4 linked regions of the Oreochromis niloticus genome follow. The protein of the gene in region 4 purifies or fractionates together with the protein of the main gene of each other region. This does not show direct contact. Links are inferred from orthologs where the notes say so. Each region holds a gene or a part of one and is shown on either strand. Other genes may lie near its edges.

Region 1 (7,560 bases), on a different chromosome or scaffold from region 4:
CAATATCTGTTGGTGAAGTTCTACCTGCTATTCAACGTCTTAAACTTAGTAATTCCCCAGAAACAGATGAATTAACCTCTGAATTCTACATTACTTTTGCAGATCAACTGGGCCCATTTACTCAATGTGTACACTGAAAGTCTCATAAATCAGTCTGTCCAACCCACCACTTTATCAGACGGTCTGTTCACACTGATCCAAAGACCCAAAGAAGGATCCTGTTTATTTTGACAACTGGAGGCCGATCTGCCTTCTTAACAATGAGTATAAGATCCTAGCTCAGATCTTTGCCAAAAGACTGAAAGCTGTTTTGAATTATATTACTGATGAAACTCAGACTGGCTTTATGGCTAACAGATACATATCCAACAACATTAGACTTGTTCTTGACCTCTTTGATTATGCAGATTTTTGTAGGGTTGATAGCTTTATCTTATTTTTAGATTTCTGTAAAGCATTCAATACTATTGAACATAGTTTTATTTTTCAGGCTTTGGACAAATGTGGTTTTGGCCCTTACTTTCAGAATGTTATTAAAACGATGTACAAAAATGCTAATTGTTCCATCAAATTTCATACAGGTACGTCCTTTAGGTTTAAGTTGAACCGTAGTATCAGGCAAGGCTGCCCCATCTCCCTATATCTGTTTCTCATCTGTGCTCAGCTCCTCTCTGACTATATTAAACTTAGTCCCATGAAAGGCATTAGAATTGCAGAAAAGAAATATTCATTAGTCAGCTTGCTGATGATACCACCCTCTTTTTAAAAAGTGCTTCACAGATGCAGATAGCCATTAACACAATTGATGCTTTTTCTGTAGCTTCAGAACTCCACTTAAAGATCGGTAACTGTGAACTGCTTGCCCTCAGAAACTGTACCAGTCCCTCTATTGCTGGCATTCCAGTGACAGAGTACATCACTTACTTGGTATCCTCATTAATAAAAATCAGCCAACATCAATTTGGAACTTTATTCCAAATTTAAAAAAAATAAAAATTGGCGATCTTAACTTTGTTTTACTTACAATATTGATAAAATCCCCTTAAAACTGTCCAACTTTCATAAACAGATGCGTCTTTCCTGGTTGTTACTTTATAAACACAACTTTTCTCTGCGCAGATACTATATTTGGAATGACAGAGACATTTTATACAAACACAAATCTTTATTTATAGGTGACTGGTTTGTTCATGGGATTCATCTTGTTGCGGAACTTCTTAATCCAAATGGAGCTTTACTTTCTTAGATATCTATCTCTCTGTCTCTCTGTCTCTGTCGCTCTCTGTCTCTCTCTCTACATATATATATATGTATATATATATATATATATATATATATATATATATATATATATATATATATATATATATATATATGTGTGTGTGTGTGTGTGTGTGTATGATCTGACCCCTCTACCACTGATCCTGCTGTTACCTCTGTTAGACAGATCTGTTTTCCCAAAACAACCCAACTACTGGGACCTGGAATGGAAGAAAATTTGGACCATACCACTGAAATTCCTGTTAACCAAAAAAGTAAAAGAAATATCTTTAAAATAAAATATTCATCGTTTTTAACCCACCAGAACTTGTACGATATAAAAAGACATTGATGCTAACTGTTCATTTTTTCACTGTCAGAAAAAGATATTTCTCTCTTATTTTGGTCCTACTTATGCGCTAATCTTTTCTGGCAAGATGTTTGTGCTTTTGTTGTTTCTTTTATCTTATCTTTGTTACGGAAAAATATTGTTTGGCTTTTTTGATTGCCCTGCAAATAGGGCAAACAAATTTCATTTGATTAATTTACTAATCTTAAAATTTCATATACATAAATCCAAAATTTCTAATGCAAAACCGTCTTTTCAATGCTTCATAAATGAAACCAGACAATATTTTAAAACTATACAACATTCCCATAATATAAAAGCAATAAAACTATAAATTTATGCTCCTTGTTTGGTATCTTGTGATTCAAACCCTAGCCCAGAGGTTCCCAAAGTGTGGGGCCCGCCCCCTAGGGGGGGCGCAGAGCCATTGCAGGGGGAGCGCGGTATGAAAATAAACAAAGGTAGGTCTCCCCAGGGGCCCGTTCTTCGTACCTCGCTTACTACATCCAAGATCAAATGACACATCCAAGATCAAATCATCGCGCTAACTTTGAGCTCGCTAATCCGGTTCTCCGAACGCACCTGTTGTTGACGATTAGTATAGCTGGCTGAAGTAATCTGAGATCACTGGGTGGCTTTAAAGGGGCTACGCATCGATAGTAGAAACATTGATCGGCAACCCTGTGATTGGTCGGCGAAGATGTCGAAGGAGCGCGCGCAGTATCTCACGGCAGCAGAGCAAGAACTCTTGATTGAGGGATAGCAGGAGTTTCAGAGTTTAATTAAAACGCAGGGGAACACTGCAAAGGCTGCAAAAGCAAGGAGAGAGGGCTGGCAGAAAGTTGCTGACAAATTAAACTCGTAAGTGATCCGTGATATTACATTATATCATGTGATATTATATTATACCACAGTATATTATATTACATCATATCCTCTTTCACATTAGAGCCACAACAGGACCCACTAGAACATGGGAAAAAGTAAAAGTGAAATATAAGAATATTCTACAGAATGGTAATATTTATCACTTATATTGCTTTTAGTCTATGACAAGAGACCCTGGAATAATCTGTTTGTTTATAACAGCAACCAAGAAAAGGGCAGAGCAAATAAAGACAGGTGGTGGTCCTGCACCCCCTCGTCACACCCCTTTTTGTACTGTGACATTTATTGACATTGTGGGTTTTTATGTGTGTAGTTTGAATAACACTCCATCACTTTTACCTGTTCCCATGCAAGGGGTGACTGAAGCATGCACAGTAAGTCGGGAGTAAGTATATATATAGATATATATATATCTATATATATATATATAGAGGGAGAGAGAGAGAGAGAGAAAGGGGGAGGAAGAAAGTAAATAATACCCTCACGGGAGAATCGATATCTCTCTATGAGCACACCGTCGCGCTGAGCTAAAGGATCCCGTCTATCCCGCAATATACGCTAAATTCTGTAAACTCTCCTTATCAATCTTGCACCTTCCTTGCTCGCGTACAAACGGACAGGACATGGCTGCGACAGACTTCCCAAATCCACTTTCGCTTTTTTAGCCGTGGTCTGTCATCTTGATTGCACGTAGTAATTTACTATTACTACTCTAAAATATGAATTACATCTGACATGATCTACTACATGTAATAGAATGGTTAATAGTACATTTCCCTTTTTTTCGGAAATGACCTGTATGTATCTGTATGCAATCAATAAAAGAATCAAATGCTGCATTATCTTTAGTTACATTGATAATATTTATTTATGGTAAAACAGTGGAGAAATGTCGCTCTTGCTTTCATAAAACTGCAGCGGACATACCTGAGTGGCCGCGATCTAATCCTGTTTACATAAAGTAAACCTGCTCCCGAGCAGGCTTACTCTTACGGATCTGTTGCTATGACAGCAAGTCCCAGATGAGCTTCGGAGAACCGAACGATCCAAGATCACGCGAAATCGTCAACATTCAAATCCGGCTAACTTACTTAGCGAGGTACGAAGAACGGGCCCCTGCAGAATTGGTTTTCCCTGCGTCGGGAGCAGCGCTGGGCTCTCCAAATCACGGACAAACAGTATCCCACATTCTTGATTTTTAGTTCAGGAACACTTCTTGTAATAACTAACTACTCCTGACATTTTGGACATGTTAGCTCTTTATACAGTAAAGTTACAGTGGGATACAAATAATATCAGGCTGATCCTGCCACAGTTTGTTCCCCCTGTCCAAATCACGGACAAACAGTATCCCACAGCTGTTTATGTTTTTGAACCCATTTTGCACAGAGAGGCATTTTTGAAAAATGTATTGATAGCAATGTTGAATATTATTACACAGGAAAAAAACAACTACACGTAAAATAATTACACCATGACGCCTCTGCCTTTCTAAATGGAGGGACAGTAACTGCGTGTGTATATGTAAGTGTGTAAAACCTGAAGATAGAGACAAAATACTGTTACTGTTAATCTTACTATCTGCCATTCTGCAATTCATCTCATCTAAACAATAACGTGGCGCACACCGTGATGTGAAAAAAGGCACATACCTTTGACGTTGCGTGATGAACTCTGTATTCCTCGTCCACACGTAAACGCAAAAACGGAGTTTTAAAAAATCTCCGTTTTCAGTGATTCGAAACGCCGTTTACGTGCCGACGAAAGGCCCAAACGCATAGAAACAGCTGCGTTTTCAAAAATACCCATGTAGGTATGAACGTAGCGTAAAAGAGTTACTAGTGTATTTTATTTTATTTTATTTTATTTTATTACTACCTGTAATTTATCGCAGGATGTATTTGTGCGGTGGTGGTGGGGGGGTGTCTAATTGTTATTACACGACCACCCCTGACATTGTCTTTTGCTCATTTAAATCTGTAATGTCTGAATTGCTAATGAAGCTTAAAATAAAAAATAAAATCCGCCTTACTGCTCATCACATCACAGCGCGACAGAACGTTAGGGTTACGTATTGTGCTTACGCCATCAGACCGCGCTGGGCAGCTATCTGCGCAGTTGTGTTTTATCGGATTTGCGGAGTTATCGCGGCTCTAAGTGAAATAAAGTTCGGCACGTCTGTTTGCAGCCCCGCGGGGAGCTCTGAGTTCAGCAGCGGGACCAAACCGGCGCGGTCCGAGTCAGATCGGGGACCCGAGTCGTAGTTCGTTGTTTTCTTTCTGACGCAGCTAGCTGTTAGCGTCGTTAGCTCAGGTGTGTGCTCGATTTTTGTCTCTCAGATGGAATATCCCGGAGGAGGGGGAGCGGTGCTGAGCAGCGGGAACGTCCCGGCCTTCCTGACCAAATTGTGGACCCTGGTGGAGGACCCGGACACCGACCCGCTCATCTGTTGGAGTCCGGTACGCACGATAACAGCTAACAGCTAACGCAGACAAGTTTAATTTTATTTACACAGCAGAAACAGACACAACTTTATTTAAACTGGAATGTAGACAAGTTTGTTGACAAACTTTATTTACTGACTAAAAAAAAGAGGTCAGCTCAGTTAGCTTAGCTTCAGTGAGCTATTAAGGCTAACAGAGCTCACGTCAGAGGTCAAACGATATCAGACATCATCAGCTAGTCGGTAAATTATCAGTTGACAGTTGTTTTTCTGACAAACTGATTCCAGCAGCTGTTTTGGAGGTTGGCATAAAGCCTGAATTCAAATAAGCTGATGACTGCCTATGATGTCACTGTAGTGTCATAGCCCACACCTTGTACAGCTGCAGGTGTTAATTTCAGGTTGCACTGAAATCGGTCACTTATCACCAAAAGGTCTCCATCTTTATTTTCCTAATTTTTTTTTTTTGTTTGTTTATTTGTTTTTTTTTATTGCATAACTATTAGGCTCCACCCACAGCTGAAGGTCATGTAACACCAGATTAAAGAAGTGTCTGAAGTGTAATTTCCAAGTGTAGTTTAAAAAGGAAAATGCACCTTTAATCCATGGTTTTCATTACTGCGACACGCCCACCTGGAGGGCAAAAACAGTACTGCGGTCCTTTTCTCTCCACCTCCCTTTGAACGTCTTCTAGTTTAACTAGAAACCAAAATGCCAGATAGTTGCTGGGCTATCGGATGCAGTAATCAACATTTATTTACAACTGCCAACTGGCATTGGAAAAAGTTTTTTCTATTTCTTTTCCATATGGGCTGCCACCCACTCCAAATGTCCACCTAAGTGGACATGTAAAAAAACTATTTGAAAAATACATGTTTAAGAAATGAAGTTCAAAGATCTTTTTTTCATGCCTAAAGATGAATAAAAATACTTAAGAAAAAAATCCTGATTGAGGTTGTCATAATTCATGCATGAAAGGGTTAAGCTAGCTATGTAGCACTTACTTTTGCTTTAACAACAAACACTTTCTTGTTCTTCACCTCCTCCTTTAAATGAAGCTGCCACGGCAGGATATGGATCACAAGTCCCCCAAATTAATGGTTTCTCTTTATATCTTTATTTGGATCCATGGAAGAAAAACAAAGAGTTCACTTTCATCTGCAGTGTGTTCTGACAGTTCTGTTTAATCTATACTGATGTATAGATTACTGAGTTCCAATCAGTAATCTATACATCAGTGCCTGATGTGCAGGTGCAAAAAACCCTGAAAGTGTTAAAATAATCAATAAATTTTGAGCTGCTCAGAAACAGTCTGCTGGAGAGCAGACAGCTGAGATTAAAGTGTTAGCAGTGTGCTCTGATTTTCAGATCTGTTCCTGGAGATTCCTGAGCGTAAGAGCGTATATAGTCTCTTTTTATCAGTTGATTATAAGGTAAATGCAATGGTTCTTATACATTCCTTAATACTCAAGTACTCAAAGTGCTTTATACCCCATGTCTCATTCACACACATTCATACACTTTTTTTCAACCTGCGTGCTTTCTGTCTAACAGTCACAAGCTAATGAACGCATCAAAGAGGACCCTGAGCTCAGGGTTCAATATGTTGCCCAAGGGTACTTTGCCATCCAGAATGGAGCAGCCAGGGATTAAACCACCAACCTTCTGATTAACAGATGACCTGCTTTGCATCTTGAATCACAGCCACCACAATAATACAGATTCTTCTTCTTTTTTTCTTTCTCTTGTTGTATAAGAGTGGTACCAGTTTCCATGTGTTCGACCAGGGGCGGTTTTCCAAAGAAGTTCTGCCAAAGTTCTTCAAGCACAACAACATGGCCTCTTTCATCCGCCAACTCAACATGTGTGAGTAACCAGCAAGGAATCATCAGTGTGTTAGCCCCACCTCTGAACAAGCTATCGTTCAGAGGTGGGGCTATCACTATTTGGCAGTGTAACAGAAGGTTAGATGTTTTTGTTATTGATTTATTTTTTGGGAAAGAAGATTCATCCAATCAGGCGTGCTTTGTGAAGAAACATTGAGATATAAGTCAAATGTCTGGTGTTTAGCGGCTTTTCTTTGCTGCCGTAATTGTCATAGCAGCAACAACCAGTCCTCACAAGGCAAGGTAGCCTGCAGTTAACATAGCAGTTAATGAGCTAAGCCAGTGGTCCCCAACCTTTTTTGCGCCACAGACTATTTTATGTCCGACAATATTTTCACGGACTGGCCTTTAAGGTGTCGCGGATAAATACAACAAATAAAACGAGTATCAGTACCAAAAAAAAAGAACATTTATTCATAACACACAGGAAAAGACCCAGGGAAACAGAGTTACCGATAAAAACAGATAAAAACCCTGAAAACCATAAATTTCACACCCGAGCCTCAACTCTCATGGTCCGATACTGGTCTGTGCCCCGTAGGTTGGGAACCGCTGAGCTAAGCTACCGGTTTGTGTATATCAAGCTGATCAGTCATCACGACGATCTTTGTGCATGAGCAGCTTCTTTTTCTCCATGTCACTGAAGAAGTGCTAGTTGATTGGTATGCTGAAAAGCTGAACTTTTCTCAACATTCAGCAGAACCCTCTTTAAAAAAAGTAGGATAGAAAAAAAG
Region 2 (7,752 bases), on a different chromosome or scaffold from region 4:
TAGACGAGCTCGCGCACAGACTTCAGGTTGGGGTATCTAGGGGGGGAAAAAAAAGCAAAGGTCACAGCTTATGAAAGGAGCACAAATCAATGATATTTACGTGTGTTAATTTATAAAGAAATAGGATTAGAAAAGTTTAATTTAAGAGGCATTTACAAAATATTAAATTATGAACCCCAAAACATTAAGAGCTCAGATTTCATCTCTCCAAACCTGGCACTTTCATTAGCAAAAAAGATTATATACATCATTGTTTTGGGGAAGAAGCATGATCTACAATCTGAATGGCAATTCTCCCCAAGATTTAGTCAAACTCATTGGATTAATGCTACAGATTGCCTGGATACTAAACCTGACAGTTCAAATTTAGGCTCAAGACTCAACTGACCAATCTGAGGATCCTGTTTTAATCTAATTGGTATGATTGAATGGTAGCAATTCAAATTTCTGCAGCTTTGATGCTTCTTTCAGGACATGTGTAATGCATCTATAGGGTTGTTCTGTGTTATAAACAATCCTGCTTTGCTAAGATCTTATGAAGGAAAAAGTTTAGTTTTAAATATTAAATCTGCACAATACCTCCCAAATGCAGATGTGCCAAGTTAATACAGTCAACAACATGCAAAAAATCTTAAGTCTACAGTTAAATACAAAGGCATTACACAGTGGCAGATGATGGTGTTTCTTGACTCCGTCATAGTATAAAGAAATATTAGTAACCTAGTACAACATTGGGAACAATATTGCATCTACCAATACAGATCAAGTTATCTGCATCAAAAGTGTCACTTAGACACATCCAAACAAGACTGACATAAATGACCGGATAGGAAGTAACCCTAACCAACTACATAAATATCAAAAATGGAAGTCTTAAGGTGACCAAAAAGCAAACACTACAAGTCTAACCTACACTTCACTCCTGTGCCAAGTTACAACCACACTTCCACAGGGCTGTTGTAGTGAAGATCAGGTAAATTCTTCCATTACAGCACCACACAGTAATGTCAAACACACAGAGCACAAAACATTTCCATTGGGTCTTTAACATCAAGACATTAAAGCTTTGTGAAATATAGCCAAGCATTTACTGCGTTTAGTTTGACACTGGCTTATTTTTATATAAACTGTTTAACAGTACTTTAATGTGTTGATTTCAAGTGTCAGTGAATGACCACTGTAGTAAATGCCAGGTTACAAAAGTTTCTGGCTGCATTATTACAGTATGAAGCCAACACACTCACATTTGTCAACACACTGGCACGTACCACTATGGAATGTGGTTTCAGACAAAACTGGCTTAGTTTCAGTCAGTAATCACCATGGTCGATATGATGGGGAAAAAAGTTCAGCATCATTAACCACATTCCAAGTGTATCACCTATTTAGAGACGTGCCAATACCCCCTGACCATCGCTTCTTATTTCTGAACAGCAGGTTTCAGAGTGACACAGTCCTTACCCCCAAGCGATGTAAGGCTCTGCAATTCTGAGCATGTTGATTGATGCCTTGTTCAGCTTGACAAAGACACCGTTGAAGATCTGGCGCAGACGGAGCAGCTGCAGAACTTTGCGGACCTTGGGGCTCACGCCGTTGATGCTGAAGAAAAAAACAAACAAACAACAACCAACCATTGTGATTACTGTTTGGACTTACCATCAAGGTACAACTTCCTAATTAAGCTACTTAGAGTGGTTTCAGAACATTATTGGCTTTTTATTACAAATGTGTATCAGCAGAGTCGATAAGTCGGGGAAAGAGCATGCATCATTAACCACTCAACTGTATTTATCCACACAGACTGGCTTAGTCATTCAATAAAAATGACTTCTCAATAGCAACTGAATTAACAAGCAACTGAGCAGCTAAACACAAAGTAGTAATGTATGAGGCTCAGCAGTTGGACATCCTCTCATGTGGCACTGCCTGCACAACACCTTGCAACTGATTGTGCAGTTCTTTTAAGCCAGACACAGAGGAATCCCAAGCAGTGCGCATCACTCACCCTCTGATCCTGATGACAAAGGCCAGTTTGGGCTCAGCTGGCACATAGAAGTTTCCCACTTTGCGAGCCATACGGCCCATTCGTATCTCACGCCTGTACATCTGCCTGTACTCCTTGTGGTACTTCTCAGCCCTCTTGTAGATCAGTTTCCTGGTCACCTTGCGGACCTGAATGCAAAAGGGAAAACACGTTGAAGCAGTTCAAAACACTATCCGACATCTCCATCCATACGGGAATACTGTCTGCACAAAGCTTCACTTTACCTTTTTCTCAGCCAGCAGCTTCTTGACACGCATGGCCTTCATGGCCGCGTAGGCCTTTCGCCTTTTCAAAAGGCTCTCAGGGACCGCCGGAACCTTTTTTCTGTTTAAACGTTAACAAAAAGATGCTGTAAGGAAAAAATTCGAAGCGAGATGGTGGACAAGATACCTGAACACATGTACATCGCTCAACTGAAACGAGCGATGACTGAATCATGGGGGCTGCTAGCTTGCCAGTCTGTCACTTGCCGGCTTCCACACAGGTAAATACTACTTCATACAATAGCTTTCAAGACTAGAGAGGTTTTACAGCAGCATGAACTCAAAGGTTGCTGAAATAGCTGACTATTATTTTAGTACTATTTTTTTAACCATAAGAACTGGACACTTGTAAAATCCACAGATGCTAAAGAGACAGCCATGTTGAACTCAGCTATATGGACTCAGTTATTATAAAGTAACCCTAACAACAGTAATAATCACCATCTGTAACAATACTGCTATTATTCTATCGTACATTAACTAAATAGCTTATTCGCGTTGTAAAATTAACACCAGATGCTAGTTTAATGCTGGATGTGATTAGATTTTAACACAGAGGGAAACACTCACTCTGCGTCCGCCATTGCGATCACCGAGAAAGAGACTTTTTCATTTGCGCATGTGCGGGTTAAAAGCGTTAGGACCTCTGCGGAGCGTCCTTCCGACTGCCTGATGGATAAATTCTAGCGATGTATTCAAAACTAAAGTTACGCAAAACCCACTGAAATAATTCTCTTGGTTAAATGCTCCCTTAAATTTATCGGTTAATATATCAACAACTATTTTCTATGGCTACCGCAAGGAATATTATTGTAATAACAAACGCTTTAAAGGTAAGACGACGCTATAATACGTATTCTGATGTAGACCTACCTGGCCTTATTTTTAATACATTATTTTATATTGTTTCTTTTTTTCTTTTCGTTTTTTTTTAAATTAATCTAAACGCTACTTTGCCCGACTTCCGTGCTACAGGTGGCGTTATGCAGCCATCTGACCAGCAGAGGGCGCAAACACTTCATTTTGCAAAGCACGATCAGAGAGCGCCTGTAGCGTTGAAACTCCCGCCCAGCACTTTGCTTCAGGCTGTATAACAGACCCTGTCCCAGGAGGTTATGAAAAAAAATCATAAAAAGATATAGACTCGATTGAAGGCCACTTATTTGTTGATTTATTTATTTTTATTTTACAGGCAAAATGCAAGACACAAGTTTTAATTTAATGGTGAAACGTCGCCTAAATAGAGCTTTGCCATTGGTCAGCTTCTCAATTTGACCGTTCCAGTGCAGGTAGTTTTATATTAAAAATGTTGCCTTGTATTAAACGAGCCAGCGTTAAAGCCCATCAATCATTTAATACTCTTGAAAAAGCAGAGTGCTTTATTTATCTGTAATTTTCTTGGCTTTTTGGGCACATTGTTACATTTGGAGAGAACATTTCCCCGGAGGTGTTTTTCACGTATTTGTTTTATCCTTAGAATCTACAAAGGATTCTTCCATCAGCTGTTTGTTCCTCAGACACGCCCACAAAACAAGCACAGCACAAGTGAGAGGCTGCTGGCAAAGGTTGCACAACCTGGAAGAGGTGTAAACAATAGCCTAAGGTGTGGGGGGAGCTGCAAAGCGGCAATGAACGTGTTCACAATGGAGACGATTCGTGTGCGCCTGTTTTGTATATTATCATTATAATTGAAGGGTAATTAGGCTATATTAATTAGGAAGAAACGTGATCGCGTAACGATTTGCGCGTGGAAGTATCACTTTTCTGGCCGGGTGCGTGGCTTACCTAACCGACCGACTTCACTTTCCTCCGTGGGGATCTCAGGGAATCATTGCAGGCAAAGCTGGGATATGTCTTGAGCTGGCTTATAACTTTAAGTGTAGTTTCTGTTTAACAGAAAAAATAACGTGTAACATATAATAATAACGTAAAGTGGGAATACTTTGTAAACAAGATATTTTAGTTTGCTCCACGTATGGCTGGACATTGACCTGGACTTGCAGGTCCAGTGCGGCCTGATCGGTGGCTCGTGGATTTCTGAGTTTAAGCTGTTAAGATTAATTATATCTTTAAATAACTTGCTATCAAACTTTACATTGTTAGGATTTTCCAAAAACGCGCAAACACGCACACAGAGACGCATAAATAAGCAACCTTTTCAAACAGGAGGGAAGCTTAATGTCTAATCTTCCTTGAGGATACAAAAAAGTCCGAGATTCGTGTTAAAATCTTTCAGGTTACATCACCTTCATTCTGACAGGCGCTCAAGTCCCCCTCCTATTGGGTCCAGCGTTGATGGCTGAACAGCATAAATAGCGCCTGAGGTGCGCTCCAGAGTGAGATGAGTGGAGAGGCAGCAGAGGAAGTAGGAGGCTCACTTGATAGTAGCTGCTCATAACTCACTGCAACTGTGCGTTATAGTGGCAACTGGACTCTTACCGAGCAGCATCTGAACTCGCACTCCACTCATACATCTGTCCTGCATGCGCCTAAGTTTCTTTCGCATTTTTTCTGTCTTTTAAACCATATTTCCATAGGCCGTTATTCCTGCCGGCACTGTGATCCAAGTTTGTCGGTGTTTCCCTGATCCTGTCTGCTGCAAACAGGTTGCAAGAAGGAAACAGTCCCCTGCGCCTCTTCCGCCGTTTATTTGAATTGATAGAAAGCTTTGGCCAAGATGATGATAATAATTGCGGAGTTCTTCGTAGTTATTCTGAAGGTGCTCTGGGCTTTTTTAACTGCCGGAGCCAAGTGGATTGTGCGGCCAAAGGAGAAAAGCGTGGCGGGACAGGTGTGCTTGATCACCGGCGCTGGAAGCGGCCTCGGGCGGCTGTTCGCCAAGGAGTTCGCCCGGAGACGAGCGATACTGGTCTTATGGGACATAAACAGCCAAAGCAACGAGGAGACGGCGGAGATGGTGCGCCAGATTTACCATGAACTGGACACTCCAGTAACCAAAGACGGTAAGAGTGTTTTCTTTGCAGCTTTAAGGCTGTCAGCCGGCTTTCTGAGCGGTCGAGTGTTATTTAAGGAACACACACTGCAGTCCTGATCAGTGTAAGAGTGAATAAACTAAAGTGTGTCAGAGGGAGTCAGTTAAACTGGACACAGCCTCAGGATTTCAAAAGTTTCATTTTAAATAACCAAACAGTGGAATGAGACTTCCATATGGAGACAGTAGATTTTTAAACCGTTTCACCTAATTTAGCTGTATTAACTTTCATAATCTTAATCAACCTACTAAACACACTTTCACTGATCATCTGTTGCTTTCCCTCTCTTTTATTTTCCCCCCTCTCTGCAGGACCTGTTGGAGGGGTAGAGGAAGTCCCACCTTTCCAGCCGCAGGTCTACACCTATGTGTGTGATGTAGGGAAGCGCGAGAGTGTGTATTCCACAGCGGAGAAGGTGCGTCGGGAGGTGGGAGAAGTGGACATACTCATCAACAACGCTGGCGTCGTCTCTGGCCATCACCTCCTGGAGTGTCCTGATGAGCTGATCGAGCGGACCATGGTGGTCAACTGTCACGCACACTTCTGGGTGAGCCGATGTAGAAGCTGTTGTAATAAGCCGACACTGAGGTTATTGTGAAGTTATAATGTGTGTGCCCAAGTTTCAGTGAGAACAGTGTTGCTGAATGTGTTAACTGTGATGCCAGGTTCACAGGAATGTCTCCACTCTGACTCGTATGCCTTTTCATAATCTTATCCTTCTCTGTGCCAAACTCAAGAATCAAAGGTGTGTGTGTGTGTGTGTGTGTGTGTGTGCCTCCAGGCCTAAGAAACTATGACCATAAATAGTTGCCTTGCATGTTCAGATTTCAGCTCCACTTGGTTTCATTCTGCCAGAGGAAAGTCACGGGTTTGGCTTTTTTAAATCTTTGCCTTTGCTCCGCTTTGGCAGCCACAGCCGATGATGATCCCAGAGGTATGTCAGCGGCTCCGTCTCATCTCCTCAGCTGCACAGATCTGCACAAACCGACTGTGCGTGATGGAAACGGGGTTCTGTACGTGGGTTGGATCTGTCTTAGATCAGCTCACCACATTTTGCTGGCAGTTGGTGATTTGTTGCATATCAGATTTTTACTCTGGCTCCGTTCCTCGAGCCTTTCAGTGTGACTACTTATCTGAGAGGCTACGTGGACTTGATGGAGTGAATATGCTGCGCTTTAGATAAGCATAAGCTGTAGCGTGTAACCAGTTAAGCGCTATCACAGGTTTTTTTGTGTGTCTGTGTGTTTTTGGGGTGTGGGAAGACTGTGGTTGCAGACTGCCAAAGCTATTAGAAATTTAATAAAGAGCTTTATTCATTTTAAAGATGGATGTTTACTCTTTTGGAGCCTTTAGACCAACCTTAATGAGAATTGATTGCATTTCTTCACTATAGCCACCCCCTGTGGAACAGCAGCAATGACTGTGTAAATTTGGCTTATAAGCTTTGTTTGGAGTAAACCGCATGGATTGAGAATAAGTCTTTCACCTGGCAGACTGGTTCTGAATTCACCACTTCATGCGTGAATTTAGTTGTCACAACATATTGTCAAGTGATCCAGAATATCTTCATTTTTCAGGCTTTGGCCCCAGGCTCTTATCTTTTTATTTTATTTGTTGTTTACAGAGAACGGCATTCTCAGTCATGCCATGAAACCACAGTAACTTCAAGCTTCCTAATCGAGCATGAAAAATCTCTTGTGGCATCGCTCACGCAGGTTGTGCGGATTTCCTCTTTAATGGATGCCCCATTCAAGCATTCATCTGCTGGATATCTCAGTGCTCTTTAAATCCAGGATTTGGAGTCAGGGTCCAGTGATTTGGTAGTAGAGTTTTGTTTTTTAAATAGATGTTTGTGTTTTCCTGTATTCCATGGTGAGCGTGGTTTCTTTAGAGGTGTGTGTGTGCGGAGGGGGGAGCAGATGAAAGAAGGACTTAATGAATGGTGACAGCCAGAATGGAGGATGTGGTTCATTAATGACACAAGCTAGATGAATAGAGATTAAACTAACAGAGGCACTGTCCACTTTCCTTTCAAACTCACTGCAGTTAGTCACTGCATGCAGGTGGCAGGTATTACAGAATCCTTTTGATTTTTTTTTCTCCCCCTTTTTTTTCTGAACAACAGGTACCTCCAACGGCTTACTTGTGGTTTTTGACTCAACAAATAACTTCAGTTTAGGTCCGCGTCATGAAAGGCTTTTAGGCCGGCTTTAAAAACCTGTTAATGCACATGTTTTCACAAAATGCTATCCCTAAAGGCATGTTATAGGAGAATTTGTATTTGAAAAGTGCAAGAACAGCTATTCAGATCAGTTTACAGAAGCAGGTTTCCAAGTGTGCTTGCCATTTTTTTTTTTTTTTTTTTCATACTGATAAGCTTCTCTTTTTCTTTTTTTTAATATATTTTGATGTCTCAGCAGTGCGCGTAAAAAGGTCTGGTGTGTGTTTTCTT
Region 3 (7,164 bases), on a different chromosome or scaffold from region 4:
AAAATTGTTGAAAAAGACCATTTTTATAGCAGTAACTAGTCTGCAGCTGTCACCTCAGAGAGGATGTCCGTCATGGTCTTGGTGGGTAGGTCCTTCAGGTGTTGTTTGTGCTGACTGAGGCTCTGCAGGAGCTGCACACATCCCAACACCACCTGTGGCTCCTGCACAGAAACAAGACAGAGAGCTCAGAGACCACAACGTATTTGATAGAGCATCAGCTGTCCTGGATCTCCTCTGTTCCCTGGATCTTAAATTTCTTGTGAAATTTACAACCGTACAAAAACCTGAAAGTGATGCAACCATGATCATTTTTTTCCCCTGCTTTCCCTATGATTACTATCCCTTAAATATTTGCAGGCGTCTTCAATATATTGTCTCAGGCACATTCTCCTCTTTAATGCAGCAAAAACCTTTCCAAGTATGCTAAAAATGTGAGAAAACTTACCTTAGAGAGGCGGTTGGACTGATGAATGGCGAGAACACCAAACAAGTTTCCAAACATAGCATTTCTGGCAAATTTCTGAAAGACGAAAGATGAAACAAGTTCAAAGATTGCATTCATCGATTTTGGTGCTAAAAGATACCAAACACCCAAAACTCACCTTTTTAGCTCCTTGCAAGTTGTGCTTTTCTTTGATTCTGTTGAGTATACTCTGCAGGGAGACATCTTCAAAGGCACTCAAGACCTAAAAATAAAGGAAACTTTACTGCTTAGCTCAGTTATTATAGAGCACCTTCCTAACACTAGCAGCAAAACAGCATTTTGTACACACTCCGAAACCCATGTGACCAATATATTCAGTTCAATACTCATCTTAAAATAAGGTAAAACTAGCACTTTAAATTGCATGACGCTGTACAGAAGGCGATACACAAATAAAGGGAGACTGTCCATGCTAGGCAGAAAGCACAGGATGATTCATTCAGGATTTTGAAGCACAGGTAGAGAGAAGGTATATCCATGTTTGACAGGGGAAAAACAAAATTGTAATGACACCCTGGAAACTTCTGGCTACCACCCTCATTTAAGATAAATATAACGCTGGGCTTTACAGCTGACTGGTTAGCTTTTAACATGATCACATGTCCTCCTTAGACTTTTGAATTTTGCTCTTTAATGAAGAGTAACGGCAACACATCTTGACCACTTTATTAGGTATATGTGTACATGCTGATGTCATAACCTATTGCTATAGAAAGCTTATAGTGACACTTTTGTACATACAAAAATGTGCCAAAAAAAGGTGTGTATAAGTCTTTTACACACAAATCATCGCTTCTCTCTCTTTGTCTCTATCTTCTTTGTCTTCTTCATCTGCTTCTGTGACTTTGTCATTTGCCTCTTTCTCCTCATCTTCATCTTTGACAACTAAAGGTCGTCACGGCAGATCATCTGAACATCCCCCTATCCCCCAGCATCTTCCTCTGTCGTGCCAACGCTCTGCAATGTCTTCCTTCCTCATGAACCTGCTCTCTGGTCTTCCTCTTTTCCTCCTGGCTGGCAGCTCTGTATTAAACATCTGCTATCCTTCCTCTCTACATCTCTAAACCATCTCAGCCTCACCTCTCTAACTTTTTCTCCAAAAAGCTCAACCTGAGCCGTCCCTCTGATGTACTCATTTCTAACCTTCCCCATCCTGCTCTCTCCCAGTGAAAATTTTAGCATCTTTGGCTCTGCCACCTCCAACTCAGCTTCCTATCGTTTTGTCAGTCGAAGTCTCCAAACTATACATCATAGCAGGTCTCACAACCATCTCTTAGCACATAAAAGCCACATCCAGGAATTTTATCACTTATGAAGATAAATAAAGAGGATTTTTGTTATTAAAAGTAGTGTTGAACTGCTGCACTGTGTTTATTAACCCCAACCCTGAAACAAAGATGTGGCTGAAGCTGTGGATGGGTGCACAGAGGCAGGTCCGCAGACAAAGATAGATGGGGATAAACTCCACTCACCTGCCCCAGAGCGAGGCTGAACCCAGGTCTCGCAGTCTCCCGTGTGTGAGCCAGTCCATCCACCAGCCTTTTAAAGGTGTATTCCAACTCATCCTCCTGCAACACATGAAGAAAGACTGTTTAAAACTTTTAAACTACAGACACTTTAACACTATGTGGAATCATATATATATCCTGGAATATACTTATACATGAAATACTACATACTACACTCAGACATTTTTATAATTGCACTTTTTAATAAATATTTTTTTATTTAAGTGTTGGGTTTAGTTTAATGACCAACAACAATCAGATAAAACTCTGATTCCAAGGATTTCATTACGGGTAATGGAGTTCCACTGTAAACATGCAATTAAACCTTGACCCTTGACAGTAAAATACTTTACTGTGCTTTACAGTATTTCTACTTGCAGTACGGTAAGAAAAAGTTTACTATATTATTAAGCAATTTTATTTGATGTTTTGATTCTTATAAAGTATACAAGGTATTTTAACAAGTTTTGATCAAGTACTTATACACAGGTAGTTACGGTAATAGTGCCTTATGTTAATAATATAGGCCTGACTCTGTTATATGAGTATTAAATTCTTGATACTTGAAATACTTCAGTGTGTCAATGATATCCTGTATGATATCCAGTCATATAATCAGTTACATATGAAAACATCTCCCACCTCTCCATACGACACTATGTGTACAACTACTACTTCTAAAAATATTAGTGGAAAACTTCTGAGGAGTACATGTGCAGCGGGACCACGCTCCGTTCAGGGAGTCTCTCAGTGTCATCGATCGCACTCTGCCTCACCTTGTTGTTGGTTTTTAGGTACTGTATCAGGTTTTCCACCGCCTTCAGTCGGACCTCTTGATCCGGTTTGGCCAGGTCCCAGAAGAAGTCGAGGAAGACCCGGTTCTGCTGCAGGTTACCGGCGGGCCGGAGCGGTTCCGCCGCCTTCACTGAGAGCTCCACCATCTCTACAGACATCTGTTCGAAATGCCACCACCACCTCTACTCATGCTGCTGCAGGGGGAACACGTGCCTCACTCACGGAAACTACATCCGGGTCAACTCACCAGCCATGTTTTTTTTAAGAAGAAAAAAAGAAAAAAACTTTATTGAGCGATTCACAGAAGGGAATGTAATATAATATAATATAATATAATATAATATTGTTAAAAGAGTTGTTAAAATGAGCATATATATCCACATATTCAAATAATAATAATGCTAAATAATAAAAATATATCAATGCATTTATTTATTGAATTACATTTAATTAATATCATACAACATGTTTTTGTTACCATGAGCCTTGTTTTAAGTTTTCTTTCATCCAAATGGTTAAAATAAATGGTGACACTTTTTTCATTTGATTTGCCTTTATTTGTCCATCCATTACATTTTCACTAGAATTTGAACATTTTTATTTTAATTTAACATTGCACTTTGTGTGTCTTTGTTTTACTCTTTTTAAAATTTGCACTTTATATTTTCAGTCTTTCATATTTATATTTTCAGTGTCAGTAACAAAACAATTTCCCTCTGGGATCAATAAAGTATTCTGAATCTGTTCTCCACCCTATAAATGACTTAGAATTCTTTATATAAACTACTCAAGCCACACATTACACTGGATCACCCAGTTTTTCTGATTAATGTAACAAGTCCATGTCTTGGTCTGAAAGACTGGGAAATAACTGATTAATGTTGTTTAAGGGAATATTATTTATTTATTTTTTGGTGATGTTTTACAAAATATTCATTCTGACACTCTTAAAAAAATACCAAAAAGGGCACAGAGATTCAGGATGTCTGTCATGGGACAATAAGAAAAATCAAGTCTTCTATTAAAGCTACAAAAATTAATCCAGACTGCACAATTTAATTAAGATACCTAAGGTCGTATTTTATACCCAAATCCTCAAACACGAGCACACTGTAATCAAATATATGCCTTTATTCAAAACAAGTTACAAATTCTGCAAATCCTGAGGATTATTTTGATATGCTTTGACTTTCTGGGGATTACAGGACACTCCAGACTTCCCCGCTACAACTCTGGAATAAAATATCTGTTTGTGAGGATCAAATACACCTTCAGTGGGCTGCTAGGATGGACTGAGGAATAAGCTAGTTTTTCTTCCCCAGTTTGACTGACTTTGAAGTTTTTTTTTTCATCACTCTCACAGATCCAAAGACGTGGTTTCACCTGTGTTTTCTAGATGCCAGACATCTCACTCACACTTCTTTTAGTTGGTTGTACTTGAAAGGCACCTCACAATTTACGTTCTGCTCTGAAGTCAAATCCTCTTATGGTATTTGCACCGAATTGTACACCCATGTGAGAGTGCACAGGTGTCAACTGAGGCCTAATTTTTAGCTCTCAATAGCAATACCATTAGATAAAGCTTTAAGGATTTCAAACAGGAGATTTCCAAAGATTTACTTTGGATGTAATAAGCAGAAAAGGAATTTTACTTCAATGCCACCCTCTGGGAAAATATTACTTTTAACTTGTTTTTTCACAGCAGAAATTTTGACCTACCACAGTAGGAAAAGCAAAGGTGTGACTAATAACATTAACATTAGTTTGTGTTCAAAGTTTCACAGTGAGTCAGCACAGACAACACCTGGACTCGGAAATGAAGCACCCAAACCGACAGTGGCCATTAGATGTTAAAGGGACTGTTAATCTGTTCCTTTTTCCACATAGTGACTCTGAAGAACTATGAGACCAATTTCACAAACTATGACAAATCAAACACAATCACAGCACATCACACTCAGAAGTCCAAATGTCTCAAATCAAACGAAGCACTTCCATAAAAAGATACCTTTTATTAAATTGCATGCAAATCTCATCTTCACAGTCCAGATCATTAAGAGGCAGAGGTGACTATGCAAACAAATGATTAGCAGAGTCTGACACTGTCACATTCAGAGTGTGATTTCCTGTTATTTCTGTTTAGTTGGAGGGGGCAGCGAGCACAGCGTCCAGGGCACTCTGAGCCTCTTTGATCTGCTGCTGCAGTCTCTGCTTCATGGCCTCGTTCTGAGCCTTCTTTAGCATGTCCTGCATGTCTTTGATGGCAGCCCGATAGCCCGGAGCGTTGTGAAACACTCGGATAGCCTTGTCGCCACTGCACACCAAGAAGCGTCCGTTAATGTCAAATCTAAGGTCCGTGATCTCCACGCTGTGGACGCCGTGCAGCTCCTCCTCCAGCTTTCCGCTGGCAGCATCGTACATGGCCACGTTGCAGCCATCGCTGACAGCCACCACCCGGCCGTCTGGAGACAAGGCCACCCGGCTGCCTTCAGACGAGCTGCAGGGAATGGTTTTCAGGAGGTAGGGATCCTGCTGCTTTTTGTACTCCACGTCCGTGTTCCACAGCTTCCACGTGCCGTCTTTGGAGACGCTCACCATCCTGAAAAATGAAAGGAAAGCATTACTGCTTAACACAGCTTAACACAGCTTAACACAGGACCCTCATGCACCCACCACCTCTAAAGCTAATTAATTAACAGAGATGCTCTCCTGGCTGATTAACCAAGAGAGGAAAACACTCAAAACCAAGCACTATTAATGGAGTTAGACTACATACAATTACTGTGTGTGAATTTAAGAGCAATGATTTTAGATACTTAGAATGCATTTTAAAATAGCACTGAAATGTGTGCCTCCCTGTCAGACTATTGTCCTGATTAGTTTTCTCAGTGTGCCAACATTAGCAGTGTTAGCAGCAGCAGGCTTCTTTACCCTCAGCTTAACGTTTATAGGCTTTTTTATGCTGCCTCAGCTTATAAACAACCATTCATTTTCCATCTCAGATATTGCAGCGTATTACCTGCGAGAGTCGTTGGAAAAGGCAAATGCATGGACTCCAGCAGAGTGGCCCTTCAGGTCAAAGGCTCGCACCACCTCTCTGAAGTCTCCTCCTTTGCCAAAGCAAACCTCCCACACCTTCACATCAGGAGTGAAGCCGCAGGACGCGACAAACCTGAGCAAATAGACGAAGCACGATCAGAGCTCCCAAAGAGTGACACGCAATTCAAACACTTATTTTTATTTAGATTTTTATTTTACTGAATGGAATTTAAAAGTAAAAACAATATGAAGAAATCATCTTACATGTGGGAAAAAGGTTGATTCAATACATGACTTTTCAAACCTTTATTTTTCTCAATAACAATTTAAAGCAGAAGAACCTACAGCTCTTACTGTAAAACTTTGCCTATAGACACTTTTTCTGTTTTAATGTCATGAAACAGTAAAACAATAAACTTACAGAGTAGATGTATATCATTTCTAAGCTTTCAAGTGTAAGCTGTGCAATAAATGAGGAGTGGGACTGACCTGCCACACGGGGAGATGGCAGCATAAGAATTGGTTATCTGGTTCGTGTTGATAGAGGCGAGCAGCTCTCCTTTCAGGTCCCAGATGTTGATACAAGTGTCGGTGGAGGCACTCATGATAAACTTGCCTGTGGATGAGAAACACAATATCAGCCCCATAAACTGGTGACAAATACTGAAAAATAAATAAATAAGGTTTTACAGATATAGCCTTTTTTGCCAGCTTTCTTCTCATGTGAAACTAGAGTCAACTTTGTCTGTGAAGGTTCTCAGTCATCCAGGTCATCGTAGTCAAAGGAGTTTGCAAAGAAAAGCGTCTGGACTTCTTTAAGTTGCTTGAAGACGTTTCACCTCTCATCCGAGAAGCTTCTTCAGTTCTTCAGAGAAGCTTCTTCAGTTCTTCAGAGAACTGAAGAAGCTTCTCGGATGAGAGGTGAAACGTCTTCAAGCAACTTAAAGAAGTCCAGACGCTTTTCTTTGCAAACTCCTTTGACTAGAGTCAACTTTTATTGCTTGTTGGTGGGTTGATTTTTTTCTTAAAACCGTTAGGCTGCCAAGAGGCTGACTAAAGCTGGGCATACACTGTGCGATTTTTTTCAGTCGCATTATTCAGCTCCTGCTCAAACTGTACGATTGATTCGCAGGGGTTAGAAGTTCGTAGGTCACGATGCAGGGTATCACATTATACGGCCTGATGCTCTGATGTGACCTGAGTGCTCACACTGTGCGTCCATAACATGAGGCTTATAACACAAAATCTGTTGCTTGCTCTCCCTCTCTGTCTTTCACTCACACTGACATGCACACCACCACCATTAACTTTGCTAAATTGCTAATGAAAAACATTGAT
Region 4 (7,573 bases):
GCCTGCTTTCTTTGCCTTGGTGGCTGCTGGAGCAGGAGTAGTGTCCATTTCCTCTTCAGAGTCTAAAAAGCAGAATCATTGCCAATGACGTGAATCTCACAGTAACTGTGGCCGAATTCAAATGCATTGAAAACGAGTATTACTGTGGGTCAGATAGTTCAAAAGGTGACATCATACGTGATCAGTATTAAGTCCCTTGTTGATCATCATACAGTGTTAACTATTTTCAAAGACAATGGCTCCTGTTAAAAACAAAAAAGAGAAATGCGAGGCTCAGTCTTACCATCATCGTCTTCATCATCATCTTCTTCAGATGACTCTTCTTTAGCAGGCTGAGCCTTTGCAGCCTTGGCAGCTGGCTTTGCTGGAGTAGCCTTCTTGGGGGGAGGGGCTTCCTCTTCTGACTCGTCATCATCATCGTCGTCGTCATCATCAGAGGACTCCTTTGCAGGCTGAGCCTTCACTGGGGGCTTTGCTGCAGGCTTAGCAGCTGGCTTGGCTGCCTTCTTGGGTGGTGGGGCCTCTTCTTCAGACTCATCTAGACAAGAAAAACACGAGCTTTCGTTTTAATTGCAGAAAATTTTCAACAAAACCTCTTCAGAGTTCAAAACAGGGCATTAGGTTGTAACAGCGATTGAGGATAGGACCGGCAGACAGTCAAATACACACCGGTACCGAAGACATAGCGCTGTCTTTGTTTTTCCTCCGTACATTACACACATGAGTACTAAACAACCACATGCATGCCAAGAAATGGAGGATGTTTTGGGACGCATTACATCATCAGATTGTTAGCACAAATGCTTGGATCAGATTAAAATGAAGCCATCAACAGTTTTGTTAAAAACACAGTACAACAGTAATTACTATCAGTCACACAATACCAAAAGCCTTACCATCCTCCTCATCATCATCGTCATCATCTGACTCCTCTGCTTTTGCAGCAGCTGCCTTAGCTGGTGCTTTTTTGGCTGGAGTTGCCTTTGCAGGTGTCTTCTTTGGTGGGGGGGCCTCCTCCTCTGATGATTCATCTATATATGATAAATAGCAAAATTGTCTTAGGCAATATTATGCTTACTTTAAGAATGATGTACAGTGTGAAGTTTTACCCTATTTATTTAGATCAAGAACGTATATTATAAATTTGGACAACACGACACATTCACCAGTTAAATGGAAACAGCAGCTTTCATAACTTCGAAGGTTTTCTTTCTAAAGACCATCTGTTTCACTGTTGTAACTAAAATGTCAAAAGCAACACATTTATAACTATTAAATGCATCAGGCATCGCTCAAAGTTCGAGGGACTCACTTTCTAACATTTGGATGATCCTTAAACACCAAAACACACACAATAGGTCAATCTCTATATATTAAAGCCCAATTGATTATGTGAGTTATGTGAAATATGAGTATCATTCAATTAGTTTCGTTTTGGTCCTTTATTACTTACCAGAATCATCATCTTCACTTTCTGCTTTTTTGGCAGGAGTGCCATTTCCAACAACTTTGGTGCCTTTGGCTGGTGTGGCTTTCTTCACCGCTTTAGGTGGTGGAGCCTGCAGTATTAAAAAAAAAAAAAAATACAAAAATAAAAACACTTAATACCACATTTTAAATATTTTTTTCTAGCCATAAAATACTTGAGTCAAAGTCTATGTACCTCTTCTTCCTCATCACTGCTGTCCTCTTCGCTGGATTCCTCCTCCACTTCTTTGGGGGGTGGAGGGGCCTTTTTCTTCTGAGCTGCTTGCTTATTTGCTGCCTTCAAAAGAAATCCCAAAATGCAAAAACTGTTATTACCAATGTTTTTAAAACCCAACAATAATGGAGCCTACAAGTAGCCAAGCATAGATTCCGGTAAAGAAGAGGGTCTAACAATCATGGCACCCGCTGCAGCATGTCCGCAAACATGAGGGGCTTTAGGCCACGTGGAATTCCACGGTTAAAATATAAAACAGGAGAGCCGTGCTGCTGGTACAATATTTAAATCATCAACGGCAAACGGTCACGTGAGTTTAAAATAAGCCACTCAAATTACACATGAGCTCGCCGATGGATTTTCTCGGTTTTGGTTGCTTGCCTCGTGTGTCACTCAGAGCAGGCGCAGAACCCACGTGGAGCTCTAGAGGTCGGTCAGCTAGCATGCTGGGTAATTTTACCATTTGCTGACAAGCATTAAAAAAAGAATTATATATATATAAACATATGCCGAACAGTTATCCAGAAAGTCCATTACATGACAGAAAGTGTTTAAGTGGGACAGTTTAAACTTAACACCGAGAACTACCATTATTTCCACAAAATGAAGGAAATTAGAATCAAGTCCGGGTATGAATACGCTAATGCTAGTTGTTAAGCTAGCCGCGTGCTCAAATTTTCGGTTTTTACAATAGTTTTCTAACAAATGTTGGTACAGGTTGGCAGGCTGGCTATAAATTGATTTTGTTTAAGTCTTTTTATACGCCATACTTAAATCGAGAGCGCGCACGAAATCCACACTAAGCAGCAGTTTAGCTTAGCAGGCCAGAGAGCCAAAAGCGAGGCACAAACATGGCTGATCGCAAACGAAAAAGGCGTAGTAAATGCGGCAACACCACCACCATGTTGATTAATTTAAAAAAAAAAAAAAAAAAAAAAAAAAAAAGAGGCGACAATCGCAGCTTTACCTGAGCGGACATTTTCTTTTTCCGCGAGTTCACCCCCCGTTTTTTAACAAACGCACCAACTTCTGCTTAAAGGCCTCGTGCGTAAACACAAGCCCTCTTTCTATCACAAACGCACGCACTATTTTAAAATAGAATGACGTAATCTTACCTTTGCTAACTTCACCATTGTGCTGTTGTGTGTTTCAATAAAACACGAGAAGCTGGACGTCTGAAGATGAATTTAAAAAAGAATAGCTAATGTATGCACGTGGACCTGCCTACTCGATGGGACATTGGACAGGAAAGACAGAGACGACGAAGACTCGCTCTGTACTCCCCTTCTTCGCGCGCTCTCGCCGACCCGCCCACATGACTGTCTCTACCAATCACAAGCTAATGTATTTGCGTCGTGCCCGCGCCTCACCCCACATACAGGAAACATTGAATTTTACTACTCCAAGGAAATACTGTATAACTATTCTCGTCTCACTATATCACTAAATACATGACAAAAATACTAGGCAGCACTGTCAAATCTACCGTGTTTAACCTTTAAAGTCAATGTTATGACAGTCTGTATTTAACATGAACATGTATTATTTACATTGTTATTATATCATTATTATTATTATCATGGTTTTGTTTTTAATATACGTATAGTTATAGATGTTTACAGTTAAAATGTTAAAGAAAACTATTTTCGGCAATTTCCCGGACTTAACGCTACATAAACCATATACAGCTTATTGTCACATATACCATACAGCTGTTTACATGGCCACGTGGTTCGGCACGGTTGCCAAACTATCAACCACGTGTAGTCCACCACGAGGTACACGCTACACAGTGAACAGTGATAGTTCCCAACTAGTATAGTATAGTATAATCTAAATACTTCAAAGTGGGGGTATACATAGTAGTTCAGTCCAGTTTTAGTACATGTATTTCATGTAACTGTATACATTTAAATAAAACTTAAAAATAAAAAAACCCCTCTATGCAGGGGTTTTCCATGCTCAGAGTTTGCCTTTGCATGGATGACTACACACAGGAAGGATGTAAGCAATAGGTGTTTGTTGCCTTTTTGGTAGATTTAAAATGATAATAATAATAATATTTAGGCTTTTTTTTCTGCAGTGAATGAACCTCTTTTTAATCGCCATTAAGTTACCACTTTTACATTGTAGATAATTTTAAATGTAAATATTCATACATTGTTTTTCTGTTGCACAATTGAATCCTGGAGCCAGCCGGCTGATTCCCAGGGCAACATGAAGAGCACGTTTGAGTAATTAACCCTCAACACCACACAGAGGCAGCATTGCATTTAACATCACTCGGTCTTACAGACTAGTCTCAGTGAATTACAGCTACCTTTGATTTGAGAAAGATAATGTAACTTTATTGGTCCCTTCTTCTTTGTAATAATAATGATAATAATGAAAATAATGATAATCTAACCATTCTCTCGAACTTCAATATCTTTTGTAGTCAGAAAGCTCACAGAGTAGCCATTGTTCTACCTGTCTACCTGTACAAAATGTTGCATTCTGTCCAACTTTTCCCCCTTTTCTTAGTCTTGCTGTGACATTCTGGACTTGTGATCACAACTGTAGTTGACTGTTATTACAGTCGTCCCACTGTTGGTGGTTTTAAAGCATATCAGTATAACTGAAAAAACTGTTTTTGTGTAAAAAACAAAACAAAAAAACAACAACAACAAAAGAAAAAGAGCTACTGAAATTGCCATATTGAGTTAACAAAGGTACATACAACTACACAGCAGTGTCTATGCTGAATTTGCAGAATGAACAGGTATGCCTCTTTGCAAAAACCCTCCTGTCACTCTGACTCTTGTCCAATTATTCACTGCTGTCTTTCAGCAACAATCATATGACCCCCTATGAGCAAGCGCTTTGGCAACAGTGGGAAGGAAAAACTAGCTTTTATCAGGAAGAAACCCCCAGTAGAACAATGCTCAAGGAGGGGCACCAATCTGCTGCGACCGGTTGAAGGTAAATGGATGAAGACAGGACAAAGACATGATGTGGAAAAGAGCCAGAGATTAATGATAATTGAATACAAAGATGTGTTTAAACACAGTGAGTGAAAAAGGTGACTGAAGAAGAAACATTCAGTGCATCATGGGAATCCCCCAGGAGCCTACACCTATTGCAGCATAACTAAGGGAGGATTCAGGGTCACCTGATTCACCTGATATGCTTTATCAAATGGAAAGTTTTAAGCCTAATCTTAAAAGTAGAGATAGTGTCTGTCTTCCAAATCCAAATTGGAAGCTGAAGAAGGGCCTGAAAGCTGAAGGCTCTGCCTCCCATTCTACCTTTAAATACTCTAGGAACAACAAGTAAACCAGCAGTCTGAGAGCGAAGAGCCCTAATGGGGTGATATGGTACTAAAAGAATACAAAATCACAAAGGAAAGATGCACAGAATTTCCCATTGTCTTTACAGCCCTTTCATTTTATTTCTTAGTAATGTTTTCCATGAAGGGGTATCCCTGGCTCCCTATGTTCAGGAAATGGGAAGATTCAATCCCTCTGCATCAATGCCACTTCATTAGTTATGTCTTTCCACTACAAGGTTGGACCGGAGCCCTTTTTGCTTTTAATTGTTCATGATATAGATTCAACAAGGTGCTGGAAACACTCTTCAGAGATTTTGGTCCATATTGACACGATAGCGTCACACAGTTGTTGCAGTTTGTCAGCATCACATCCATGATGTGAATTTTCCAATCCATCACATCCCAAATGTGTTCTACTGGGCTGAGATTTGGTGAATGCACAGGCTTTCTCAATACAATGAACTCATGTTGAGAAAAACAGATTTGGGTGATTTGAGCTTTGTGACTCGTTATCCTCTTAGAAGCATTCTTCAGAAGATGGTCATAAAGGGATGCACATGGTCAGCAACAATACACAGGTGGACACAAGGGGCCCAAAGTGTGCCAAGAAAATATCCCTCTCACCAGTGCATCAAGCTGAATCACTGATACAAAGTAGGATGGATGCATGCTTGCATGCCAGATTTTGATCCTACCATCCAAATGATGACCGATCAGACCAGTTTACATTTTTTCAGTCTGCCATTGTCCATTTTTGTTGAGCCTGTGTGAACTATAGCCTCAGTTTCCTGTTCTTACCTGACAAGAGTGGCAGCTTTTGCGGTCTTCTGCTGCTGTGGCACATCTTCTTCAAGGTTCAACATGTTGTGCATGCTCTTCTGCATACCTTAGTTGTAACAAATGTTTATTGGAGGTACTGTTGCCTTCCTGTCAGCTCAAAACAGTCTCCAATTCTGCCTTGATCCTTTGTAATCAAGAAGACATTTTCATCTAGAGAACTGCTGCTCACTGGATGTTTTTTTTTTTTAGAAACTTCTCTATAAACCCTAGAAATGGTTTTGTGGGATAACCCCAGCCGATCAACAGCCTCAGGGCCTGTTTTGTATGTGTGTGTGTTTAAAGTTGTGTTACTATGAATTTGACCATCCTACAGTCAATAATATAGGTTCACAAAAAAGAGACAAGCACATCTAATTTATAATTACAAATGTGTTTTCACAGTACACGTGCACTCTCGGTTTGCTTCTGTCAGTTGTACTTCTCTCCAGTTTGCAAATCGGTATCAACCTCAAAGTCAGCACACATTCACAACACTCACACCGTAAATATCATGTTTCATGGTATTAGAAAGGAAATCCTTGAAAAGACTTTTACATTGACTTTACTGTATTAATTAGCTTGTAAAGTGTTCTCTCTGTATTTTTCTGGCTCTCACCCCCTTTTGTGTAATTACACCATGAAATCTTTGAGCAATGGACCTTTTTAGAGTTTCACAACTGAGCACGATTTGTTATCTTTTTTATGCTTCTTTATTATAATCTGGGTGTGTTTGTTTTCCTTTTTAATATCGCGCGTATATGGCCTTTTCTCTATATGCTTGTCTTGTTTTAAGCCTTTTAGTTTGGAAACTACGAGATAAAAAAGCCATTTTGCTTATATATCATCTTTATATAATGTTAAAGTATGTTATTCCTGCAACAGTTTGGCTGTCTGTGCAGGATGTACCCTACGGTACATCCTGCGATCGTGGCTCAAGAGTTGGGAGTTCGCCTTGTAATCGGAAGGTTGCCGGTTCGAGCCCCAGCTTGGACAGTCTCGGTCGTTGTGTCCTTGGGCAAGACACTTCACCCGTTGCCTACTGGTGGTGGTCAGAGGGCCCGGTGGCGCCAGTGTCCGGCAGCCTCGCCTCTGTCAGTGCGCCCCAGGGTGGCTGTGGCTACAACGTAGCTTGCCATCACCAGTGTGTGAATGTGTGCGTGAATGGGTGAATGACTGGATATGTAAAGCGCTTTGGGGTCCTTAGGGACTAGTAAGGTGCTATATAAATACAGGCCATTTACCATTTACCATTTACTCCCCCCTCCCCATGATGAATTGGAGAAGCATAAGAGAATGGATGGATGGATAATTTTAAGGTGAATTTACTGCTTATTTTAAATAATATCGCTCTTAAATTTACCAACTGGTAACTGGATGTAATGTGCAACAGAATTAGAGGAACATTAGGAGGAAGTGGCTTTCTATCATCTTTTTAATTAGTGGTTTGGGATTACAGTGTTATTGCCTGAATTCTAAAGATCGCTTTAAGTCAAAATGTAAATTTTCAGTGTTTTCTTCTATTTGTGCAGCAAATTTGTGCAAGAGCTTTCAACAGTGTGGGTAGATCATGCTAGGTTGAATGCAGCAGTATAGATGCAGCACTCAACAAATCCTTATTGTTTCATATAAACATTTTATCTGATAACACAGAGTTTCAGATATTTGCTAATGTTTGAAACACTTTTTCAAAATCCAAGCAGCATAAAATCTTTAGTAAATGTTAAACTCTGGCTCTCTGTACC

The links.
Region 1: the proteins of ncl (region 4) and hsf1 purify together in Homo sapiens (affinity purification with mass spectrometry; 3 studies listed by BioGRID, with this or other methods). This does not show direct contact. The link is inferred for Oreochromis niloticus from reciprocal best matches to the Homo sapiens genes NCL and HSF1.
Region 2: the proteins of ncl (region 4) and rpl7 fractionate together in Homo sapiens (co-fractionation; 3 studies listed by BioGRID, with this or other methods). This does not show direct contact. The link is inferred for Oreochromis niloticus from reciprocal best matches to the Homo sapiens genes NCL and RPL7.
Region 3: the proteins of ncl (region 4) and mybbp1a purify together in Homo sapiens (affinity purification with mass spectrometry; 3 studies listed by BioGRID and IntAct, with this or other methods). This does not show direct contact. The link is inferred for Oreochromis niloticus from reciprocal best matches to the Homo sapiens genes NCL and MYBBP1A.

The regions. Positions count from the first base shown.
Region 1 is NC_031985.2:36,095,750-36,103,309, reverse strand, and holds the start of hsf1 (heat shock factor protein 1), read left to right. Parts: upstream 1-4,548; 5' UTR 4,549-4,836; coding exon 4,837-4,956; intron 4,957-6,697; coding exon 6,698-6,806; intron 6,807-7,560. UniProt on the Homo sapiens protein: Functions as a stress-inducible and DNA-binding transcription factor that plays a central role in the transcriptional activation of the heat shock response (HSR), leading to the expression of a large class of molecular chaperones, heat shock proteins (HSPs), that protect cells from cellular insult damage.
Region 2 is NC_031974.2:20,236,392-20,244,143, forward strand, and holds the start of rpl7 (large ribosomal subunit protein uL30), read right to left. Parts: upstream 3,014-7,752; 5' UTR 2,892-3,013; coding exon 2,878-2,891; intron 2,369-2,877; coding exon 2,269-2,368; intron 2,173-2,268; coding exon 2,006-2,172; intron 1,600-2,005; coding exon 1,462-1,599; intron 1,369-1,461; exon of another isoform or gene 1,277-1,368; intron 37-1,276; coding exon 1-36. Other genes in the region: rdh10a (retinol dehydrogenase 10-A), read left to right, coding at 4,985-5,270, 5,612-5,847.
Region 3 is NC_031975.2:24,293,236-24,300,399, forward strand, and holds the start of mybbp1a (myb-binding protein 1A-like protein), read right to left. Parts: upstream 3,021-7,164; 5' UTR 2,946-3,020; coding exon 2,769-2,945; intron 2,053-2,768; coding exon 1,957-2,052; intron 687-1,956; coding exon 603-686; intron 521-602; coding exon 446-520; intron 162-445; coding exon 54-161; intron 1-53. Other genes in the region: tbl2 (transducin beta-like protein 2), read right to left, coding at 4,927-5,386, 5,807-5,959, 6,316-6,442. UniProt on the Homo sapiens protein: May activate or repress transcription via interactions with sequence specific DNA-binding proteins. Repression may be mediated at least in part by histone deacetylase activity (HDAC activity).
Region 4 is NC_031980.2:34,363,358-34,370,930, reverse strand, and holds the start of ncl (nucleolin), read right to left. Parts: upstream 3,004-7,573; 5' UTR 2,836-3,003; coding exon 2,818-2,835; intron 1,766-2,817; coding exon 1,664-1,765; intron 1,560-1,663; coding exon 1,454-1,559; intron 1,032-1,453; coding exon 897-1,031; intron 761-896; exon of another isoform or gene 621-760; intron 539-620; coding exon 284-538; intron 63-283; coding exon 1-62. UniProt on the Homo sapiens protein: Nucleolin is the major nucleolar protein of growing eukaryotic cells. It is found associated with intranucleolar chromatin and pre-ribosomal particles. It induces chromatin decondensation by binding to histone H1.